Caenorhabditis elegans: one gene and its partners. The protein of the gene in region 1 interacts with the protein of each later gene in a pairwise test. Each region holds a gene or a part of one and is shown in the gene's direction. Other genes may lie near its edges.

Region 1 (6,792 bases):
TTCTCTATTTTCGAATGCCAAAGTTTTTGATTTTCTTTTTTAGGTAAAAATAATACTCAATTAAAAATAAATCGAGAAAAAAAAACCGATAACAGCGTTACATCGAATGGTGACGTTGACAAAGTGCCTGCTGTGTACATTGGTTTGAATGAGCGTCTATAGAGCGTGCTTGCATAGTTTTCGAGTTTTTGAAATGCGGGACGTTTAAATCAGAATTATTTTGTTTTTTCTCTTGTCTACTTTCATTTATTCTACAATTCTCTTAATTTATAAAAATTTAGTAATATTTCAGATACTTCGACGACGTGAAAGCCATTTGAGACTTCAGCAGCAGCCAATTGTCACTGGTGAGTTCTTTTATTGGTTAAAATTTAATATTGAAAATCGATAAACTAAAAAACTCTGCATAATTAAATAGTAAATTCGTGTTCAATTTCGTTCTTTCCGAAAAACAATGTTGAATTCAATCGTCGACTGAATTTCTGATTTTTTTTTCTGAAAAGATATCACATTTTCTATTAATTCTAAGTAGTCTGAACCAGCTGGGCGACAATTCCAATTTCGCTATTTTGACAGTTAAACAATTGCGGAAAATACTGAGTTATCGAAAGTTCATCAATTCATCAATTTCCAAAAATGCCGATTGCTGGGAAATTGAAAATTCTCTAAAAATGTTCATATCCAAGAAGAAAATCTGAAAATCTGTAAATTTTTATAAGTTAATATACAAAGAAAAATTAGATAAATCTTTTGCCACAAAAACTTCACTGCTGTACGAATTAAATTTTCTTTCATTTGTAGATTTTTTTCAAAATATTTTAAATGTGCACAAGACATTTGGCCAAATTTTTAACTTGATCAATGTCGATCAATATATTTGCCGAAAATGTTCTTTTGCCGCCCATCCTGGTCTGAACTTAAAAATGTTTGCGCAAATTTGCCTCTAAGTTTTTTTTCTAGTAAATTGGAGAATAAAAATTCGCAAAAAGATCTCAATCACCTCATAGGCAACAATTGCAAAAATATCCGTTCAATAATTCTTTATGCAAATACTGAACAGTTAAGATAATTTCATCATTTCAATATCTCGACTTTGCTTCACAAAAGAACAATCAATAATTCGACGGCAAGCTGACAAATCAGCCATCTATCCATCTGTCCGTCTGTCCACACAAAAACATACAAATCGAGTATGCGGAGGAGGAGTCTATGTTCTTTCCCTCAACTCTCTGCTTCTCTCATCTTCTCTTCCCTCTCATCTCGGCCCGTACAGCTGCATCAAAGACTCTCAAACATCGGCGCGGCGCGGGCGCACGCTAAATAAAAGGGGGAAAAGGTAGTGAAACGACACGTGGAGACGCAGAACAAGCAGCGGGTACCGTAGTCGCGCAGACCTGCGAATCACCGATTTGTCCGCTGTATATAAAGGAGGGAAGAACGCGAGGTCTGCGTGTGATCGGCCAGCGCCTTTCTGCTCCTATTCTCCGTTTTTCCCCCTTCTATCTCCTCTTTATACACTATTTCCCTTAGATTCTCTCGTCTCCTCACCGAAGCGCTCAATCACTCGTCTTTACGCGCTCTCCTCCAGTCCTGGCCAGTAGATGTGTAAGTGTGTGTGTGTGCGTTGACATCGAATCGAATCGACACGACGCAGAATGGAATAAATGGCGTTATCATTAAAGAATGAAATAACCAAAATGAAAGCGAGAAATAGAAAAAAGGAAGATACCATCACGCCTCTTTTTTGTTATCAATTGTTGTACTGATGTGATGATCTATATTGTTATAGTGATCGATGAGACCCGAACGGCTGTGTACATACAGAACATATAGAACATAACACACTTGTTGCGAAACGGAGTTGCTCTAACGGGAAATGAAATATAACAAAATCTAATTATCTGAATCCCTTTGTTACTGAGCACAGAATATTTTAATAATTCCAATCAATATCAAATAGTGACCATTAATTTTAGAAAAAAAAGTTTGCGTTGATTATTCATGGGCTCTAAATGTCTTTTCCAAAGTTGTTAAGAGAGCTTCTATGAATGAAACATCATGTCCTTCTTTCATGGTTCAATAATCTCTCATTTCATCGCTTTACCTCAAGAGTATTATACAGTAGCTTCCAACTTTCAGTTAGTCTCAGGCCCATCATCGATGACGTCTTCGGAATAGTTCTATATCTCTCGAAAACCACCCGTTGTTCGTTCTTTCTCTCTCTCATTTTGTGCCTCCAAATCTCCACAACATCGTCTTCTCTCGTCAGCAACGTTTCCGTCGGAGACACTGACACTTTTGGAAGGAAACCAGAGAATACATATTTCGAGAGAGGAGAAAACAAGATGGATCAGAATAGAGGAAGCGATGTTGGCTTTGCGGTGCCGATGTTACCCGTCAATTATGCATCGGCTACTCGTTAGTTTTGACCTTATCTTTTAGGGTGGATGGAACAAAAAAGAAACTCGATTATAGATAATCGGAAAACGTACATTCATAAAATCTTAAAATGAAAGCTTATTTATTTTCAAAAACCCTTAATTTGTTTTGGGTAAAACCGTCAGTATCCGGCATCATTTCTGGATCATGAACTATCTAGAAACTTCAAAAAATATGCGACTTAAAACAATTTGTAGATGTAATATCTAAGAATTAACAGATTAGGATCAAATCGTTATTTAAATTTATTTTTCAGAAAAAATGTCAACGTTGGCATCCACTTCATCAGCCGGTGCTTCATCATCAACAGGTAGCAGCAACCAACAGCAGCAACAGGCAGCTGCTGTGATCCGAAGACGTCGTTTCAGCACTGCAAAAATTCAGCCAACACGCATAAAGAAGGTTATGCAAAGTGATGAGGATATCGGAAGAATGGTTCAGTCAGTTCCTGTCAGCATCGGAAGAGCAATGGAGCATTTTGCGGAGAAGTTTTTACAGGTGAGAAGACTCAGTCATAGTTATTTTGAACCTTGAATATATATTTGAGGCTGCCGCAGAAGCTACTCAATTCACATCTTCAAAGACGCTAAACCCTCAACACATGAAGCAGGCGGTTCTCAACACTCCACACTTTTCATTTCTAGAATCAGTCTTCAAAGATGTTGCACTTCCACAGCAAGCATCTGAATTGAATACTGCACGTACCGGCATGACATTGAGAGGACAGCAAATGCTCCAAGAGCAACAAAATTCAGATTTTGCTAGTGCAATTCTTGCCAATGCGCAGATGCAAATGATGCAAATGGATCAACAAGCATTGAAACAAGAAGATGGAACTATTTCTCCTTATTTAGTTGATCCGCAATCCCCAGCAGCACCACTTCCACTTTATCTTCAAGGGATTCCATCCAATTATCCAGTAGTTCAAGAACTCACAGCCACCGTACCACTTTCTCCTAGCACTCCGACAACTCAACTCGTAAATGGTATGCTAGGAATGCTCAAATACTCGAAAAAAGATTCTGAAGGACAACGTCTCACAGGATTAAAACGAGCATCTACTGATGGTGATGGAGAAGACAGACCAAAGCGAGGACGCCCAAAGAAGTTAAAACCTGAAAAATGTATTGATGATGATCTCTACGAGGAAGCTTCTAGGAATATAGCCAAGGTAATATTTGAAAAGTTTAGACATAGAATCAAAATGTTCTAAAGATGTAATTTGATTTACGGTTCTGTGATCCTTTTGATCTAAAGCAAAATTATCATTTTCAGGAAGACAAGGATCGCGAGTTGATGCCTCCTCCAGCACTGCCTATTGGCCGTCCGTGATCCTCACTTCTCTATGAGAAATTTTATTCTTCTCCTAATCGTGTACTTTTCAATGGTCTCGTTGCCCTCCATTTCTGATCTAAATTTCTCCTTTTCTATTGCTCCAAGTTAAGAAAAAAAAAACAAATCCTCACCGGGTCTACCCTATTCTCTATTTCTCTTGTTTTATTCATTTTTTGTCGTTCACTGGCAAATCAAAATTTAATCACTTCGATGTTCTCCCAATATGAACCATTACCGACCCACACCTTCATAAATCAGGATGCTCGTCGCTTTTCATTAAACCTTCCAAATGTTCTCTGTCATATGTTTAACTTGTTTTGCTCTTTGTCTCTCTAATTCAATTTTTCTCTTCATTTTTATATTTGTCATGCTTTAGAATTCAATTTCCGTTTTTGTAGTATTTAATATAAAAATTATTCAACCAGAAAACGTATATTTCCGACAGAAAAGACCACTAAACTCGCGCAACAACTAGAGCGATCTACATTATATTAGTATTCAGCTAAATTATGGATCTGAGCGAAGATGAAGATTTATTAAACATTGAAGAAGAAGGGGAAAATGAGAGCCAAAAAGAAGAAGTAGATTCTGTAATTGTTGGTTTGTAATATTTTGTCCAATTTAAACAAAAAAGGAAGTTCAGAAGATATTCGACGTCGTCTTTTCGATGTATTCAAGATGTTTGACGAGGATTCTGATGGTTTGATTGAAGTGAGGATTACTGTAGTTACTGTTGAAACTTGGCTTTTCACGTGGTGCTTTTCTCCAACTTTCTACTCATTTATATCATTAAGAACCGGATCAAATAGACATTCCACCTAGTGTAGGCGTCACGGGGAGCCTATTCCCGCCTTCCCACTCGCCTTCCTCGCGCCCTTCAGTAGGGTGAGTGAAGAGGCGAACACGCCTCGAGTGCATGAAGTTATTTTTCATACTTCATAAACTCTTAAATGTTTCTCCTGGCTCTTCCAATTAGTAGGAGCGTCGTCAATATAAAAGTTGTACCTATAGCTGAAAATTTCTTATTGATATTCGTTGAAAACTCAATTTGCATCTCTATAGGTTTTCTTTGTTTTCGATATTCTAGTATTGTTTTGGTTATTTTTATTGTAACAGTTTAGAGATTCAAACCCGCGCCAATGCATGAAATATCTCAAAAAGTTCACATTTTTTGAAAAATTTGGTAAAAACTGACTCAAATTTTTCAAAAGTCGAAATACTTTTTGGAGAGTTTTATTATGATATTCGGCTATTATGGACCTCCACTGAATCTTTTAAATCCACTGAATCTTTAAAATGTCTCCACTGAATCTTTTAAATCTTTCTTAAACTGAAATTCCAGACCGACGATGTGAGTCACGTTCTCCGAAGCTTTGGATTGAACCCCAGTCAAACGGAATTGCAATTGGTCAGTGAACAAACTGCAAAGAAAAATGGAAGAGTTTCATTCGATGACCTTCTGCCCCGTGTCGTATTGGCAATTCAAAATGAAGAATGGAAAGATGATACTCCGAAACAAATCCATGCTGCATTTCAAGTAATAACATCTAATAATTATGTTCAAAAAGATACATTATTGCAATTGCTCACTTCAATTGGAGAACCATTGACTCCACAAGAAGTTAAGCAATTTCTGAATCATGTCAGCATTCGAGCAAATGGAGATATTGACTGGGTTTCGTATGTTAAAGACACTTGCGAAATGATTACTTCTAGAGATTAAATCTTTAATTTTAGTTGTAAGGATTATCACTTTTTTTTTTGGAAAATTTCTATAAATCTTCATAAACGTGGATGCCTTCAACCATCCCAACTTTGTTGGAAACTAAAGCCAAGAGAGCAAATTTTCCAGAAAATTAAGATATGTACGTTTCAAATCTTGCGTACCGTCTGAATTTAGTTGCAAACCCTTTGGACATGGCCTTGTTCTCAGAAAAATAACATTTTCACAGACCCACTTACACTTCTAGTTATAACCTTGTGACACACTTTCTTTTGGATCACTGGTAATCGTAACTTTATGATGAGTTGAACAACTTTCCATATCAAAACTAGACATGAATAAAAGTGATTCAACGATGTACCTTAGGGCGTTGACGATCAAATTATCATTACCTACGGATAATCAGTATCTATTATAATACGAATATGTCTTTTCGGTGATGGAAATGTCTGAAAATCGTTTAATATGTTGCAGACGGATAATTTTAAACAATACAAGAAGCTAACTCGTCAATGTTTTAAATACATCGTGAGCCCGTTGTCCCCAGAATTTCAGGCCGTGCGTGACTGCAAAGTTTTCAAAACCACAATTGCACATATCAGCCCTCCTTTTTGTTGGGCCTCTAAAGAGCATGACAACTTTATTTGTTAAGCAAAAAATTACCAATTAGTTTGTGTTCTACAGGGGAGCAACACAAAGGTTTTTTGGCACTAAAGATCCTTCAAGGTTATAATTGCCACGTTTTCAGAAAGACTAACAGCAAATTGAAACACGGACTACTCGTGTGTTATTTATCAGATCAACTGCAATCATTGCATAGTTCAAAAATCTCTACATATAAACCACTTTTCTAATTAGAAAAAAAATCGGTGCAATCTCTCAAAACTGGACACGGACTGTTTTTATTTAAATACATTTTATGCCAAGAAATATAAATAAAATAATATAAATTACTTTTCCTAAATGTTCCTCAATTTATATATTCTTAGTCGTTTTGGTCTAAACTCTCTGGTCATTTAGAGCAACTTAAAATAAAATATCTACACATATTACAGTCGATCTTGGTGCAAATAGGGAGAAAATCCAATTCATATTTAGACCCATTCATCAATATTTCAGTCTGTTCGGTTATCAGTTGATGCACAGCGTTCTATAAATAATCCGTGATAAGCCTCTAGCTCATTGTCACATTAAAAAACGGCGTCGAAATTTGAAGAATTCGATGATAACTCCATTTGACGGGAAATAGTGTGTAGTATGGTTAAAAGTTCAAGTTTTGTACGGGTATGATGACA
Region 2 (7,391 bases), on another chromosome or scaffold:
AATGTTAACATTTTTGTAAAACATCCAAAACTTGACCTAAGATAGCTCCCCAAATGCTCATAAACCTAACTATTTCTTAGACTTTTTTCCATTTTTCACGGACTTCTTCTTTTCTAATTAACCCAACACGAAAAACAATTCCATAAATCAAAAGACCGTATGCATTCAATTCAACACCCATATCGCTATTTTGGCTGGGTGTTGTTCGACACGTCGTTTCCATCACACAGTGAGCCCACCCAACTCAAATTCATGCATTAGGATGACACTCAATTTATTTCAATCTTCTCGCTCTTCCCCCCCCCCCCCTCTTCCTCCATCCCTGGAACCCCCCGCCATCACTGTGGGAAGTCGTTTAAAAATGCATAGCACCGGAGGAGCGATGGAAGGTTGAGTGTGGAGAAAAGAGCTCGGAAATGGGTATACCATTTTGAAGCCAACCCAAAAGATTGAAATGCGATTCGAGAAATTGAAATTCCAATGGATTGTCTTCCCACATGTTGAAGAGTGCGCAAGCTCGCATAGTGCACATGAATACTAATTACGGTACGGGGAATGAATACGAATTAGCAGCAGACACTAGATTTTTGACAGGCACTGCCAAATCCAACTCCAGAAAGTGAATTTATTTACAACTGATCTTGTTAGAATTCTGCAAGTTTTGCAGAAGTTTCTGAGATATTTAAACTACTGTGAAAATACTGTAAAATTTTCACATTGTACGACCTGCTTCAAGTTATCAACTTCTATTATTTCCAACTAAAAGCTCTCTATTTCTTGAAGCTCGAGTTCCTTGTACTAAGAAATCGTGGGATTTTTAGCTCTATGAATTTTCGATGAAACAGTTTTTCGACGTTTCCTCTTTTTTGCAGATTTCCTACTTTCGCATTCTGGCAGTGAGATTCTTGCGCTTCACGCTCTTAAAAATTCCATTAATGTCCCTTACATGCCCTTTGCTGGACAAGAAGAGCAAAGTGTTGCTCACACTCACCAGCGCGCCTCCGATTATGTCACTTTGAGTTCATGCTTGAACTACATCGTAAATCGTATGAGATTATTAAAACAAGCATAATAGATTGAGCATAAAACCTGACCTCAAGGATTCTTTCTGCTCTTTTTCCAACGCTTCTCTTCCCCTTTTTTCGACTCGTCTACAAATATGCTAACCGAGAGCTCGCCGCACACTTTGCCTGCTGGGGCGGGGCGATCCAATAACATGCATCTGAGGGGAAAAATAGGAGGCAGGGCAACATGGTCGAAATGAAGAGGAGGAGGACGGATCAGTGCTGAGATGCATTCAGATTCTTCCACAGTTGGGTTTTTGAATGTAGACCAGCTCGAGTTTCAAATCGTCACAGCTCGGACATCCAAAGCCATCCCCCCATTTACCCTCTGCTTATAGGGATGTGATGCAGTTTGATGTTCATATTTATTATTTATATGCTTATTTTCACACTACGCCGAGCACAAATGACAATGGCTTTGAAAAAAAAAAGAAAGATTCAACTCGTTTTCACTTCCTGCTAACTTTCCAGTTTCAAATCTTTAATCCATTCCAAAGTTCCTAATTGGCCTTGATTTCGTCTTTTTCTAAATCCTCAGAAATCCCTATGGACCCTTGATTTGACGTCTTCATCTTCTTGTTTTCCCATCCGCTGTTCTTGTCTCATTTAATCCAATTCTCTAGAAATCACAAAGATTTTCGTTTCTTTTTTTTCAGTGGCTCAGCGAACAGGGTGCCAAATTCGAATTTCAAGATTTCAAAAATTTTTATTCAAGGCACGCGTTTCCAGAGATTCGTCCTCGTCCTACTCCCTTATTCATTTTTTGTGTGTTGAGACGAAGATGAGCACTGAGCACGTGTCAAATGTCTATTCTGTTGAATCGTTACTCTCGAACGTGGAAAAGTCTAGTGTTTCACCAACAGGTTTGTGCATAAATCTATTTTAATTCAAAAATAACGACATTTTCAGAATCAATTGAAGATAGAAATGAGTTCATGATCACAGAAGATGTGATGAGTTCTTGGCAGAGAATGGCCGCTACCATATCACTACAACAAAAGCTCCTCATGATGCAGCAAAGTATGCTAGAACCTCCGAGTTTCCAACTATCAAGTTTCATTTCAGCAATGCCCCGTCCTCCTCCTGTAAATATTCTTGGAAATTTTCCATTCGGATTTCTCAACGCTCCCATGTTCTGGCAGCAATACCTGAGGAGTATGGCAATGGGTATCATCCCTCAGAACCCTGAATCACCATCAGGTATCAAGCTTTTTGAACATTTATCTATTCACATTAATATGTATTTTAAGCTTCAGTTTGGAATCGAACACCGACACCTCCAGTGGAAATCAAACCGTTTCATTGCCAAAAATGCACAAAATTATTTTCTACCATAGCTGCTCTAGAGGTGAAACCAGTATTTTTAAAATAATTTTCAAAAATTTAAAACTTTTCAGCAACACCAACAAGTACACGTCAGCGATAAGCAATTTGAGTGCAAGCAGTGTGGAAAAACCTTCAAAAGGTATGCACTTTAATTATCATGAAAACATAATTTAAAAAAAAGTAAATTTCAATTTCAGATCTTCCACCTTATCTACACACCTTCTGATTCACTCCGACACAAGGCCGTATCCATGTGAATACTGTGGAAAAAGATTTCATCAGAAGTCGGACATGAAAAAACACACATATATTCATACAGGTATGTTGGTAAAATTGATAGGATATCCTAGATTTATCGATAAAGATAATATTTATAACAGCAAATAATAACGCAATTCTGCTCATAAAGTTAGGTTAAAATTAATTATTCCCAATGAAATACAAAATTTAATAATTACAAACACGCTGAACGTATGTATTTTGCACCCAAACCACTAAATTGCCTATATTGTACATTGTGCTCAAAAACACAAAATCCTCTATGACATGGTCTCGCATTAGGATGTTGAAATTATAAAACTAGCTGTGATGCAGGAGACACTACGGCGTAAAATCGATATAAATTTTGCTTGCAATATGATACATGAGTACTTCAAAAACGTGGGATTTTCTGACAAACCTATTTTTTATATGTATATGTTCGTTTAAGCTTTTGAATAAATATTCAATGTAGCCAGTTTTTAGAAAATAATAAAAAAGGTTTTATGACTTTTCTTTTAATTTTTTTTGAGTTACCATTTTTCCCTACTAGTTTGGCATCACTTATTTCTTTATGTGACAGTTTATCTTAAAAAATATTGATAAGTGTTTCCAGCAAGGTTTCATGCTTTTTATAGAAGATTCAAAGCCCTAGTTCATAAGTTCAATTAACTCAAATTTTGTCTTTGAAGCGAACCACCATATCTTTTTCAATTACAATTTCAACTCGTTTTAAGCAATCATCGTTTATTTTCGCTTAACACGATTCATTGAAAATTCAACTCTGAAAGAAGAGAAATCGTTATTCTGGTTTATTATGAATCGAAAAGTTGTCAGATGCGTGTGCACATGAGCCTCCTCTTCTTTTCTGCGCGCCCTGCTCATCTCTAAGTATGATTGATGAATCAGTATGAAAGAGTCGAGTCATGTCAGTGCCCCTCCTCCCTACCGTTCCGCAACACAAATCAAAATTGAATATTAAATCGCGTTTTTGCTATCCCCCTCCCCCCCATCCTCAACTAACAGACTCCCCGAGAGGCAGTAAACCACAGCGAGGAGCATCGCTGAGCTCAACACAGCTTGAACATTGCAAAATTGCTTCAAATTAAAATTCTGAGGGGAGATGTCAAAGGTTGGAAGTAGGGGGGGGGGGGTAGGGGTAGGGTATTGGATAAGCGCGGAGAGAAAAGATTCTTTGAATGACGTTTGAAAATTAAAAACAAATTAAATCTTGTATGCTGACAAGCAAAGCAATCTACAGAAGTTGACAAGAAAAAGAAGCAATGAAAACTTTGGGATTCCATCTCTAGACGGGGTTTTGCTGTGCAACAGAATAATAACAAAATTTGTATTTTTTTAAGGTTCAATTTGAGACAATTGCTATAAATTAAACGTTGCCTTTGAAAATAAAACATATATTTTTCATGGACGCATTGAAAGTTTGTAGTGAAAAGTAATTCACTTATTTTATAAAATACAAATTCCCCCTAAAACAGGGTTTCAAAAAAAAATTATATTTTGACTGCTGAGTTCTAAATATAGTTTGAAAATTTATTACACAAAATTAAAAAAAAAAGACAAAGGTTGTCCGTTTGGTTCAAGGGTGAGCCGAAGCCTCCTGCGGCCCAGAGATTTATCAGGGTTACTGGTTGCGTTTATATCTCTTCTAGTCTGAATTAAGGCCGTACCGGGACTAGCAGTATGCTCCGATTTACCTTTCGTGAACCAAATTCACTACCCACTTTCCACGCCGGCTGGGTGAGCTTTTGGGGTGTGGTGGGATTGAACTTGCGACCTCTTGGGCGACAGTGCTACACCACTACCACTTAGCCACCCGTGCCCAAAATTTATTACACAAAATAAAATGTCTAATCTAAAACTTCCCATACTTTATTTTCAGGTGAAAAACCACACAAGTGTACTGTATGTGGAAAAGCGTTCAGTCAGTCTTCTAACCTTATCACCCACACACGAAAACACACTGGATTTAAGGTAACAGTTCTCCTTTCCTTATTCTTTAAAAATGAGGTCATTATCTTCAGCCATTTGCCTGTGATGTATGTGGTCGGACGTTCCAACGCAAAGTGGACCGCCGTCGGCACCGCGAGAGTCACCATCCGGGCCACCCCGAAGAATGCGGTTCGTTTTTCACTCAAATTTCAGCCAATCAAGGACACCATTTTCTCGTTGGTTGTTCCTTTTGAAATGCTACAGTACCCCCCTCCCCCCCTTTTTCCATCAAACCAACCGTAACAATTGCAGTGTCTGCTTCTCAAATTTCATCGGATCTCTCCCCGAAAGGATACATGACACCTCCGACGAGCAACGGGTATCTCGACTCTTCCGATGAATTTCTCAACGTGTTTAGGCATGTTCACAAACAAAATTGTGCAATCAAATAAAACTGTGCTTTTTTTAGATTACCCGCCGAGCTGCTCGCGATCAAAGCAGAGATGGGCGAGGAAATGGAGGAAGCTGATGATGAAGAGGAGAAAGTACTGAATTTGAGCGTGTCATAATTTGTGTGAAATTCTTGTATTCAAAGGTAATAAGGACAATGAGAATTGTGCTGGTTACCTTTGGTTTTTTGTATTTAGTAAAAAATTCCTTTCTATCTACTGACATTTTTCCTTACCTCAATTTCATTAACACAGTTCACAAACTCGATGATTGATCTCTTATCCTTAAACAAGCCTCAACATCAATTGTCATCCTTTTTTCAAAACACATACATTATGTACTGATTATTGTTTATATCGCTAATGGTCAGACGTTTTATACATATCTGTTCTTTTTCAGTTCCTTTTCCATAATTTTATGGTATTGCGATGTTACACGCACATATGATGTATTTGCTTTTTTGCTTTATTCAAATTTCCCTTTTTTCAATTAACAGTTGTTTTTTTCTGTCATTTTTGAAATGCTTTCGGTGAGTAGCCTAGCCTTATTAATAAACAATGTTTAATATTGAAACTCGTTTATCAAATTTTATTAACACGCACTCAAGTCAGACCCGATAACTTTAAAATTGCAAGTAAACACGGTTTTTAAAAAATTCAGTACATTTGTAGAGCAAAATTTTTCAATTAAAAAAAATTAATATAGCAAGTAGAAAAAATTTGAATGCAGCTTTATGGTACTTTCAGTTCAAAAGTTTGGCAGTTTACCAAAACTTTGGAACTTATATAATTAGTTTTTAAATATTTGGTAATTTTGGACTATTATGGGTCTGACGAGATTTGTCTGGTTCATCATGCTCTTTCATGCTAGGAGATAATTTTTCGGTTGATGTGTGAAACAGTCACAAAATTTTTGCACCCATTTTTTTTTCAAAAATCATTGAAATTTGTAAGCTATCGGCTTTAAATGTACCTTATTTGGAGATATTGAACAATATAAACTACCAGAATATGCAAAAAGTCAACATCGGACTGATGCGACACAGAAAAGTGGGAAAAATTTCGAGATTCCAGCTAAAATCAGTGCAATTTTGTCGAAATTTTGAACCGCCATAAAAATTTTTCGAAATTTTTTTTTGAGAAGCTTAATCACGAATATCGTTCATTTAAGCTTGTTTTGGGTCTATACATTTCAAATCGTCCGAACTGTTAGTCCTTCTTTAACTGAGAAACAACGCAAAATTAATGCCAAAAAATTTGTTCAATGAAGAATGACTGATTAAATGTCAATTAATAGCCGCTGTAAAAAAATGGTAAAAATTCGAAAAAAGTTCGTTAAGAAGCTGCAACTGAATTTTAAAATAAATTCAAAGACGTATCACATTGGCCACACATTCCCAACTTTCAGGGTACCTCTTGGTACATTTTTTTCAAATTTTCAAATAATATTTTATTTGAGTTGGTTTTTGGGTTCCTGTTTCATTCTGCTACTCATTGATGTACTGATGTACTGATGTTCTCCGAAACTCGTAGCAACAATTTCAAAAATTCTCATTCCCAATAAAGCCACAATGCGGTTACGAAGCCTCGGAAAGCCATGGTTGAAAAAGAAGATTAAAAGGACAGGAAAAGAAAAAGCCAGCGAAATTAGGTCATTTCGTGTGACTTACAAATAGCATAACCTAATCACAAAGCACCTACCAAAAGCCACCGGAATATGGGTGTTGAGGGATTTTCCAACTGATGCAGTGCAAGTAATTAGTTTGGAAATGAGCAAAACCCGCCGAGAAGAAAGACCGAAAGATGCTACGAGGAGTTGTCTTTCGGGGTTTGTGAAATGAGACACAACTTCTTTGCTGGAAGGAATTTGAGAAATAATTTTGTATATTAACTTAAGTCATGTTTGCAGTGATGTTGAGAATTTTATTAATGGTATTTATAAATTACAAAACCTTTTTAAATTGTATATTTGGTAGTAAGTTCACAAATGTTACCAAATTTGAATAACTATTGTAAAAATGCACTTTGATTTAAAAAAACCACTGATAAACTATAATAAACTATAAAACTGTGCAAAGATGGCAGTAATTAAATTGAAAATGATTTGCGGTTTTTGCTGCAAAACTGTTAGTTGTCTTGGAAATTACTATAGCAGGCCGAAGTCAGAGATAAATTCAGGCCAAACATTTGCAAGAAACATCAAGAGTCTGTAACATTGCTTTTGGAGCAATTCTTCAAGCTTCATAAGTAGTGAACAAGAATAAAAAATGAAACGATTATCTAGAAATCTAATGTCAAAATATCACCCTTTCATTATGAATGTTTGAAAAAATCTCCAGATGTG
Region 3 (7,036 bases), on another chromosome or scaffold:
TCGTTCCTACGAAAAAAATCAGACAATTGAAAAATTGGAACTGTGTGGTGGCTCAATGTCCATTTTAGACTATAGTTAAAATGGAAATACAAAAGAACAGTTGGCGTGAGCATGGCAGATGGTGCCGACGGCAAAACCTTAAAGATTCTGAAGCTGTGAACGAAAAAGTTGGGATTCTTAATTAGGTGACAACTCTTACTGGATTGGAAGAACAGACTTTACCACCTGGATAAAATATGTACAGTTTGGAAGAGCAATAGTGTTACAGAGCTCATATAAGGGATTTGAGGGGATAATTCTGGAATCAGGAATGAATTAGATTTTGGAAGCCATGCTGACACAAAGATGTCTCCCCAAGATGGTACTCGGAAAGGCAGTCATATGTTATCTTCGCCAGGAGTGTGCACGGGCAACTTGCTCAAATGCAAAGGACCAAGATATAGAAACTATCCAAAAAAGCTTCAAAATCAAAAATTCTGAAAATCATGAAAAAATGGGCACGGGAACGCCTCAGTTCCAACTGAAGGAATGATGACGGCCGGCGGTGTGGTGGGGACCGAGAAGATTGAGGCCCTTTTGGCTACACGCAATTACAGCCACAATTCACTATTTCTCTCGCTTTATCCATTCTCTCTACACCACGTACACCCAGCAATTAGCTACAATATAGGGCGGGGTCCCCCTGTTGAGGCACACACACTCTGAAAGATAATTGGGCTAAATTATACCTCAACCATTTTTCTCTACTGCCAGCCTCTCCCCCCGGCACTTTTCCAAAATAATTGTCTTGTCTCTCCCCATCCGCTCTGAAATCATCATTAAACAATTTGATATGTAGGGGATCGAGTTGTGAAAAAGTTTTCAGATAAATCTTCTGATAAGATGGTCACCTAGCGACCCCAATGGCTCCACCCAGAGAATACTGTGTCCAATAGGAGACGACTACTCCGCCCACAACCAACGTACCGCCCATCAGTTTTGAGGTGTCTCCTCTCCACATCCCGCATCGTCTCTCTTCCCCCTTTTGCGATGGTGTGTTGTGCTATGTGTATGTGCCTACTAGTGCCCATTCCCTCCCACCACTACCATCATCATAATCTTCTTCTTCTTCAACTACTTCTTCTTCATCTGAATCTTCTGAATCTTCCATCTCCTCCCTTATTATCCTAATTCATACCTTTCTTCTTTTCCTTCTTCTTTCACTCAAATTTTAGGTAATCGTCTTGTCTCTCTCTCTCTCTCTCAACTGCCATCCATCTGAAATTTTAAATTGCCGTTGATAATTGACCCGAAATTTGTTGAAGTTGGATCTTGTGTGGGGGTGTGAGAAGTTTTTGGGGATCATAATGATAGGGTTATGACTTCGGTGCATCAGTTCAGCTAATTCTAAGTCTTCAAAGTTTATGGTAACTGATTTTTGTTTAAAATGCATGCTAGATGAAAGTTGTTATCGTTATCATGTACTTATCACTTGATGAATTTCCTGTCCAGCTTCTCCATCGCGAAACAATGTGGCCGCGTGGCGCAATGGATAACGCGTCTGCCTACGGAGCAGAAGATTGCAGGTTCGAATCCTGCCGTGGTCGAAACTTTTTTCTCATCTCACATTCGTTTTTTTTTATTTTTGAAAAGTTGATGCTCTTGCTACTACGAAATATTTGTTTGCCACGTCATTACTGATAATGTTATGTTGAATGTCATGGCACTGCTCCTCTGTTTAAACAGTAGAGACTAACTAAACTAACCGAATAATCATGAATCAAAAGTTTTGTCGTCGTTCTCGAAGACTTGCAAAAACCAAAGTGTGAGAACTGCAACCTTTCAAATGGTGTGAGAATTTTAAAAGTTTTCAATTTCATTCATTCTACTTCTTCACCTTTTTGTCCATTTTCAGAGTGTTTATTCCGATTACGTCTCATTTCTTCAGTTCTTAATTTTGTATATTTTTAATTACTTTCTTTTTCAGATGGACCCATCAAAAGGATTCGAATATGTTGCTGGAGATTATTATCAGACATCTGGAGTAGCTCCACCCACAAGCAACGGAGCTGGATCTAACGTTTCCCCTTATTTCCCCTACCATGCTTATCCGACGTCATCAACGAATGGAGCAACTGGTGGTTCTATGTATGGTACACCACAGCAAACGAGTGCCTATGCAATGTATCCTCCTGGGCCAGGAAGCTCACCTGAAGGTATGAAACTCGGAATTGAAAAAGCTTTGGAAATTGCCAACTGCTTTAACTTGGTCTCCTGTTGACACCTAGGAGAGTTGATAAGTACCTTTTTTCATCTTCAAACTGTGGCCGCGTGGCGCAATGGATAACGCGTCTGCCTACGGAGCAGAAGATTGCAGGTTCGAATCCTGCCGTGGTCGAAGCTTGTTAACTAATTTTATTTAAATTTCATTTAAAAATTTCAAAATCTAAACTAAAGATCTTGAAAACACGTCATTGTTCTAGGTTTACCAATATCGTCAAAAGTAAAAGACGTCAAACGCGATCTAACATTAGCACTTGTATCCAATGTGTTACTTTTTCTAGAGTTTCTGACTTTGACTCCAAATATCTAGATCATTAGAAATGGAGGTCTATGATTTGCTTTTGATTTGGTTTCGAAATAGATAGCATCAAAATTAGCACATAAAAGGGGTTATTATAAAAAAAGTTTGCAGAAGCTTTTCCCGAGCACACAACTACAAAAATCGTGGAAGGATGTGAGGCGAAGTACAACGTGAAAGGAAAGAAAATGAGGAAACCACGGACAATTTACAACTCATCACAACTGCAAATGCTTCAGAAAAAGTTTGTTTTTTTCAAAATTATTTAAATTGCAAATTTATTAATTCAAATTCATTTTCAGATTCCAAAAAACACAATATCTGGCGCTTCCGGATCGAGCAGCATTGGCACATGAATTGGGATTATCACAAACTCAGGTAACTATTTTTGTTATTTTGGGGAGATTTTTGTATATAATGCAACTTGCTCGTAAGATATGATGTACTAGGCCCGCATTTTCGAGAAACATTGAAATCTTTGCACGTGAATTAAAAAGGTCCGGTTGCGGTTTGATCTACAAAAATTGCGCGAAATTTATTTAAAATTTTTGTGACTGGCGCGTAAGTATGGTGCATCGGGGTAAGTGTGTTTCGTAATTTAAAATTCTAAAATTTAGTTGAAAATTAACAAATTGGCTGTCAATTTTCGAACAATTTCCGCTTACCCCACTGCCATATCAATGACCTTGACGAAATGCACACCATCATGTAATAATCCAGTCGTAATCTTCCTAATCCCTCGATCCAAGTCCCCCTCCTCCTCTGACACACACGTGTCTTCATTTGATTCACCGTAAAAACAGTACCATTAACTGTGTCTTGAGAAGGTCGTGCATTCCTCCAGTTTTATACGCGCTATTGAGTTTAGAGAATTGAAGAATGTTTGGAAAAGCGGTCGCAATTTTGACATAGATGCTGGTATCGCCTTTTAATTATTGTTTTTGATATCCCGAGGGATATGAAATGAGAAAGCTCTCAACTAACACATAATTATGCCACGTCAATAGGAGAAGAAGCTTTAAGAATACACGCGCTCAGGTGTTAGATGCTTATCGAATTTTGAGAAGTGGGATACGGGTATATCAATCATACCGTAACAGAAACATGTGTCCTGCCAAGATTTTATCTAAAGTCAGCGGAAACGGACGGGGGGCGGACGCCTGATTGACAGGTGTGACACATTGGTATTGGGTGTCCGGAAAATTGTGTGTGGATTTTCTAAACCAATTATTTAAAAGTAGCGTGATCGAAAAAAAATCCGAACCGAGCAAAAAATATGAAAACACAACCTCGATGCACCATGATTTACGCTTCAAATTAGATCGCTAAAACCGGCGTGAAAAATGTGGTGCAATGTTCATAAATCATTCTGCCAAAACTTGAGATTCTGAATCCAGTTTACCCAGTTCATGTTTCTTTCAAAAATTTTGGGGTGATTCTACAGTACACTTGATTCTTGTGGTTAGACATCCAGCCGGTTAGTTCATGAAAAGAGTGAATGTGACCTCTATAGGAATCTTTGCCTCTATTCAACCACATACTAGCGGATGGCTAATTACTCTTCTTTTTCCCTCTCTTCCGTCTTTTCACGGATGTCATACAGGGACACGCAGGGTCTATCTCTCTATGTATACATTGCCCAGTTTTTGCAAAATCGACGGATCGGAAACCAATTGGCACACCGGCCCCGATGTGGGGCTTTTCAATAAAATTGCGCTAAAAATTTAAACAAATCTTTTAAAATTTAGAGAGCACAACCGATCACTGAATTCCAGGTGAAAATCTGGTTCCAAAATCGGCGTTCGAAGCAGAAGAAACAGAAGGGTGGAAGTTCGGATCATGCATCAGATGAAGAAGATGATGATACGGAAGAGTCAAAGCCTGAAAGTCCACCGATGGGAGAATCGGTTATGATTCAGGAGAGCAGTGAGCCAAGAACACTTGTATCTAGTTCAATTAAAACTGAAATGAAAGAGGAATATCCACCGGTTAGTGAAATGTGCTGATTATCTGATAACCAAGTCTAGAAATATTTTGAATAATTCTTTGAAAACTTTTTTGAGTTGCAAAAATCCTTCACCGAAATTTTGCTGTAAAATAAAGCACGGTTTTGCTGTCCGAAAATGCAACCGCCTTCAAGCAGTTTACGTAGGCACAAAAACTCGTGTGTGCCTGCGTGACTGCATTGACAAAAGCACACGCATACGTGTAACAGATACAGGTACGAGTTTGCATAGAAGGCGACCACGCCTGCCTCGTAGGCACGCAGGCAGACACTCTTCGTCTGCTTTCAAGCTCTTTCGCAAAGCATAATAATTCCTAATATTTTTCAGATGACACTCAACGAGCAATATGCTTCTCCTTACCTCTACGGATCCGACTTTTCAACGATTCTCCCACCGTCACAGGGTTTCCCCAACAATGCGCTCTACAATACGGCAGGCGCTTATCCTAGCATTGACTACACAAATGGAGTATACCAGAATACTCTTTACAAGTATGTCTGAGGATATAATATTTCCTTTTTCTTGACTGTCAGTTAATTTAAAAAATTCTTTTTTACAAGGCTCTTGTAGTACCTTGCTAAAATATGTTCACTTTTGAATAAGCTGTCAGCCTAGAAAATATTGATTTTCTCGATGATTTGTGTTTTTTTCTTTCCAAACTTTTCTATGGTCTCATGGTTTTTGATATATAAATCGATATTGAACGTTTGCTTTTTTAAAGTTTTTTACTTGAAAAATGGCAGAATGCCAAGAATTATCAATCGACGAAAAGTTAAATTTTTGTATTTTTGAGTTTCCAGACAAAGTCTCCTAATTTTTTGGCAAATTTCGTATTTAAAATAATTTCTTGACTTTACTATAATCCAATAGTTTCCTGGTTTTATAAACTGTACGGTTTTTTTAATTGTTTGATTTTCTCGGAAAACCCCGATAATTTTTTTTAAATAGAAAAATTGGAAACAAATTCTGAATACACTCTTGGGTGGAGCCAGTATTTAGTCATTTTGCAACTAACTTGAAGATAATTTTGAAACAGAACCGTAAAGAAAAACTTGGTTCTTCTGAGCTTTGCAATTCTCTGTCTAATTTTTACAAAATACAAAGCCGCCTGCTTCTCTACCTACAATGCGACTTGCAGTAAAAAAAATAGGCGGTAGGCACGTAGGCAGGCAAGTAGGCACACAATAATAAAGTAAAACTTTTCCATAATCTGAAAATTTTGCAGCTCTACCAACCCAACATATAAATCACCGCATCATCTGACCTCATCGGCTACACCATATTAGTGCCCCTGCAAGATTCGGCGATAGTCTGCTCATTTTTACATTTTCAAATGCCTTCCAAAACCCTCATTTTCAGGTGTAGAAGACTTTATTATCATTTTAGACATTTGTTTGAGATTTTCATTCAATTTTTTAAAAATTTAAATTTAATGTAACATTTTAAATTCAATTAAAATGAAATCCCAGCTGAATTGAATGATTCTATCAAATAAATGATGTATTCAGAAGGTCCCGTTTGATCTCTAGAAATCGCGGAAAACTAGATTTTTGGCGCGATTCCTTGAGATCAGAGCCAGTTTACTTTCTGAATACTTACTTCTGAAAAAAAAACTTACTTTAACTGTTCAGATCTCTACCGATCTTCTTTAAAACTCCCTTCAACCTGTGTGCTTTTCCTCATTTCTTTAAAACTTTCTTTCCCTTCCTCATGTCTTCAACTCAATTTCACCGATTCCAGTTTTTTTCGTCTTTTCATTTTAATCCAACGGCCAACCGGGTGCCCGTCTTTTTTATTTATAATTAGATTCCTATCATATTGATATACTATCTTTTTTACTGTAAATTGTACTTTTAGTGAATAAAAAATTAAAATCTTCATACTATTTTGCAAATATAAAGAGTTTTTCTTAAAGTTAGCAGCGGATTTGATATTTTACTGTAGATATGATAGTGGTACGGTAGATGTATTGTAGGGAAAAATATTTAGAAATTGTTTTTTTTGTTCAAATGCTAGCTTTTTTTAAATCATGATTCTTTAAACAATTTTATTATAAATTTTTTATGCCAAATAATTTTCTAAAAATTAACACTTTGAAATTCCCGAACAAAAATGTTTTTTGAAAAGTTAAAAATTTGAATTTTTCGTCTAAAGTTGTTTAAACTAAAGTTATAATTTTAACGCTTAAAAATTTTCAATTTTTGCGATTTTTAAAATTTTAAACTCTAACTTTTATGTTGAAAAAAAACGCCGACAAGACACGACAGGCAGGCAGGTAGGCGCCAGGATCCTGCCTGCCTGTCACAAATTCCAAAATTTCAACACTAAATTTCATTGACATTTTCTCAATAAATCACTCATCAGTCTGTTTTCACATACCGCCCGTTCCTCTCATCAAAAGGGGTTTTTCCATCATTTCAACGTGTGTGTGTCGGCGGTGAAATGGCGGAATCGACGGAACGGCGCCTGA

The links. The genes of interacting proteins can lie anywhere in the genome.
Region 2: the proteins of drap-1 (region 1) and pag-3 interact in a two-hybrid assay, tested with the Caenorhabditis elegans proteins (one large-scale study listed by BioGRID).
Region 3: the proteins of drap-1 (region 1) and ceh-43 interact in a two-hybrid assay, tested with the Caenorhabditis elegans proteins (one large-scale study listed by BioGRID).

Annotation. Positions count from the first base shown.
Region 1 is NC_003283.11:9,729,820-9,736,611, forward strand, and holds drap-1 (Transcription factor CBF/NF-Y/archaeal histone domain-containing protein), read left to right. Parts: upstream 1-2,139; 5' UTR 2,140-2,345; coding exon 2,346-2,418; intron 2,419-2,695; coding exon 2,696-2,937; intron 2,938-2,986; coding exon 2,987-3,610; intron 3,611-3,714; coding exon 3,715-3,771; 3' UTR 3,772-4,203; downstream 4,204-6,792. Other genes in the region: cal-7 (EF-hand domain-containing protein), read left to right, coding at 4,284-4,374, 4,418-4,485, 5,117-5,497.
Region 2 is NC_003284.9:14,948,976-14,956,366, reverse strand, and holds pag-3 (Zinc finger protein GFI1 homolog pag-3), read left to right. Parts: upstream 1-1,718; 5' UTR 1,719-1,845; coding exon 1,846-1,927; intron 1,928-1,973; coding exon 1,974-2,084; intron 2,085-2,129; coding exon 2,130-2,264; intron 2,265-2,314; coding exon 2,315-2,412; intron 2,413-2,461; coding exon 2,462-2,529; intron 2,530-2,587; coding exon 2,588-2,709; intron 2,710-4,306; exon of another isoform or gene 4,307-4,456; intron 4,457-4,548; coding exon 4,549-4,640; intron 4,641-4,690; coding exon 4,691-4,787; intron 4,788-4,910; coding exon 4,911-5,016; intron 5,017-5,067; coding exon 5,068-5,167; 3' UTR 5,168-5,615; downstream 5,616-7,391. UniProt on the Caenorhabditis elegans protein: Transcription factor. Plays a role in the determination of neuroblast cell fate and neuronal differentiation.
Region 3 is NC_003281.10:4,444,874-4,451,909, reverse strand, and holds ceh-43 (Homeobox domain-containing protein), read left to right. Parts: upstream 1-1,966; coding exon 1,967-2,195; intron 2,196-2,300; exon of another isoform or gene 2,301-2,379; intron 2,380-2,674; coding exon 2,675-2,804; intron 2,805-2,862; coding exon 2,863-2,938; intron 2,939-4,308; coding exon 4,309-4,548; intron 4,549-4,893; coding exon 4,894-5,067; 3' UTR 5,068-5,260; downstream 5,261-7,036. UniProt on the Caenorhabditis elegans protein: Probable transcription factor. Binds to the sequence motif 5'-ATAAT-3' in regulatory elements. Required for development of the anterior hypodermis during embryonic morphogenesis for cell adhesion; also affects embryonic and larval viability.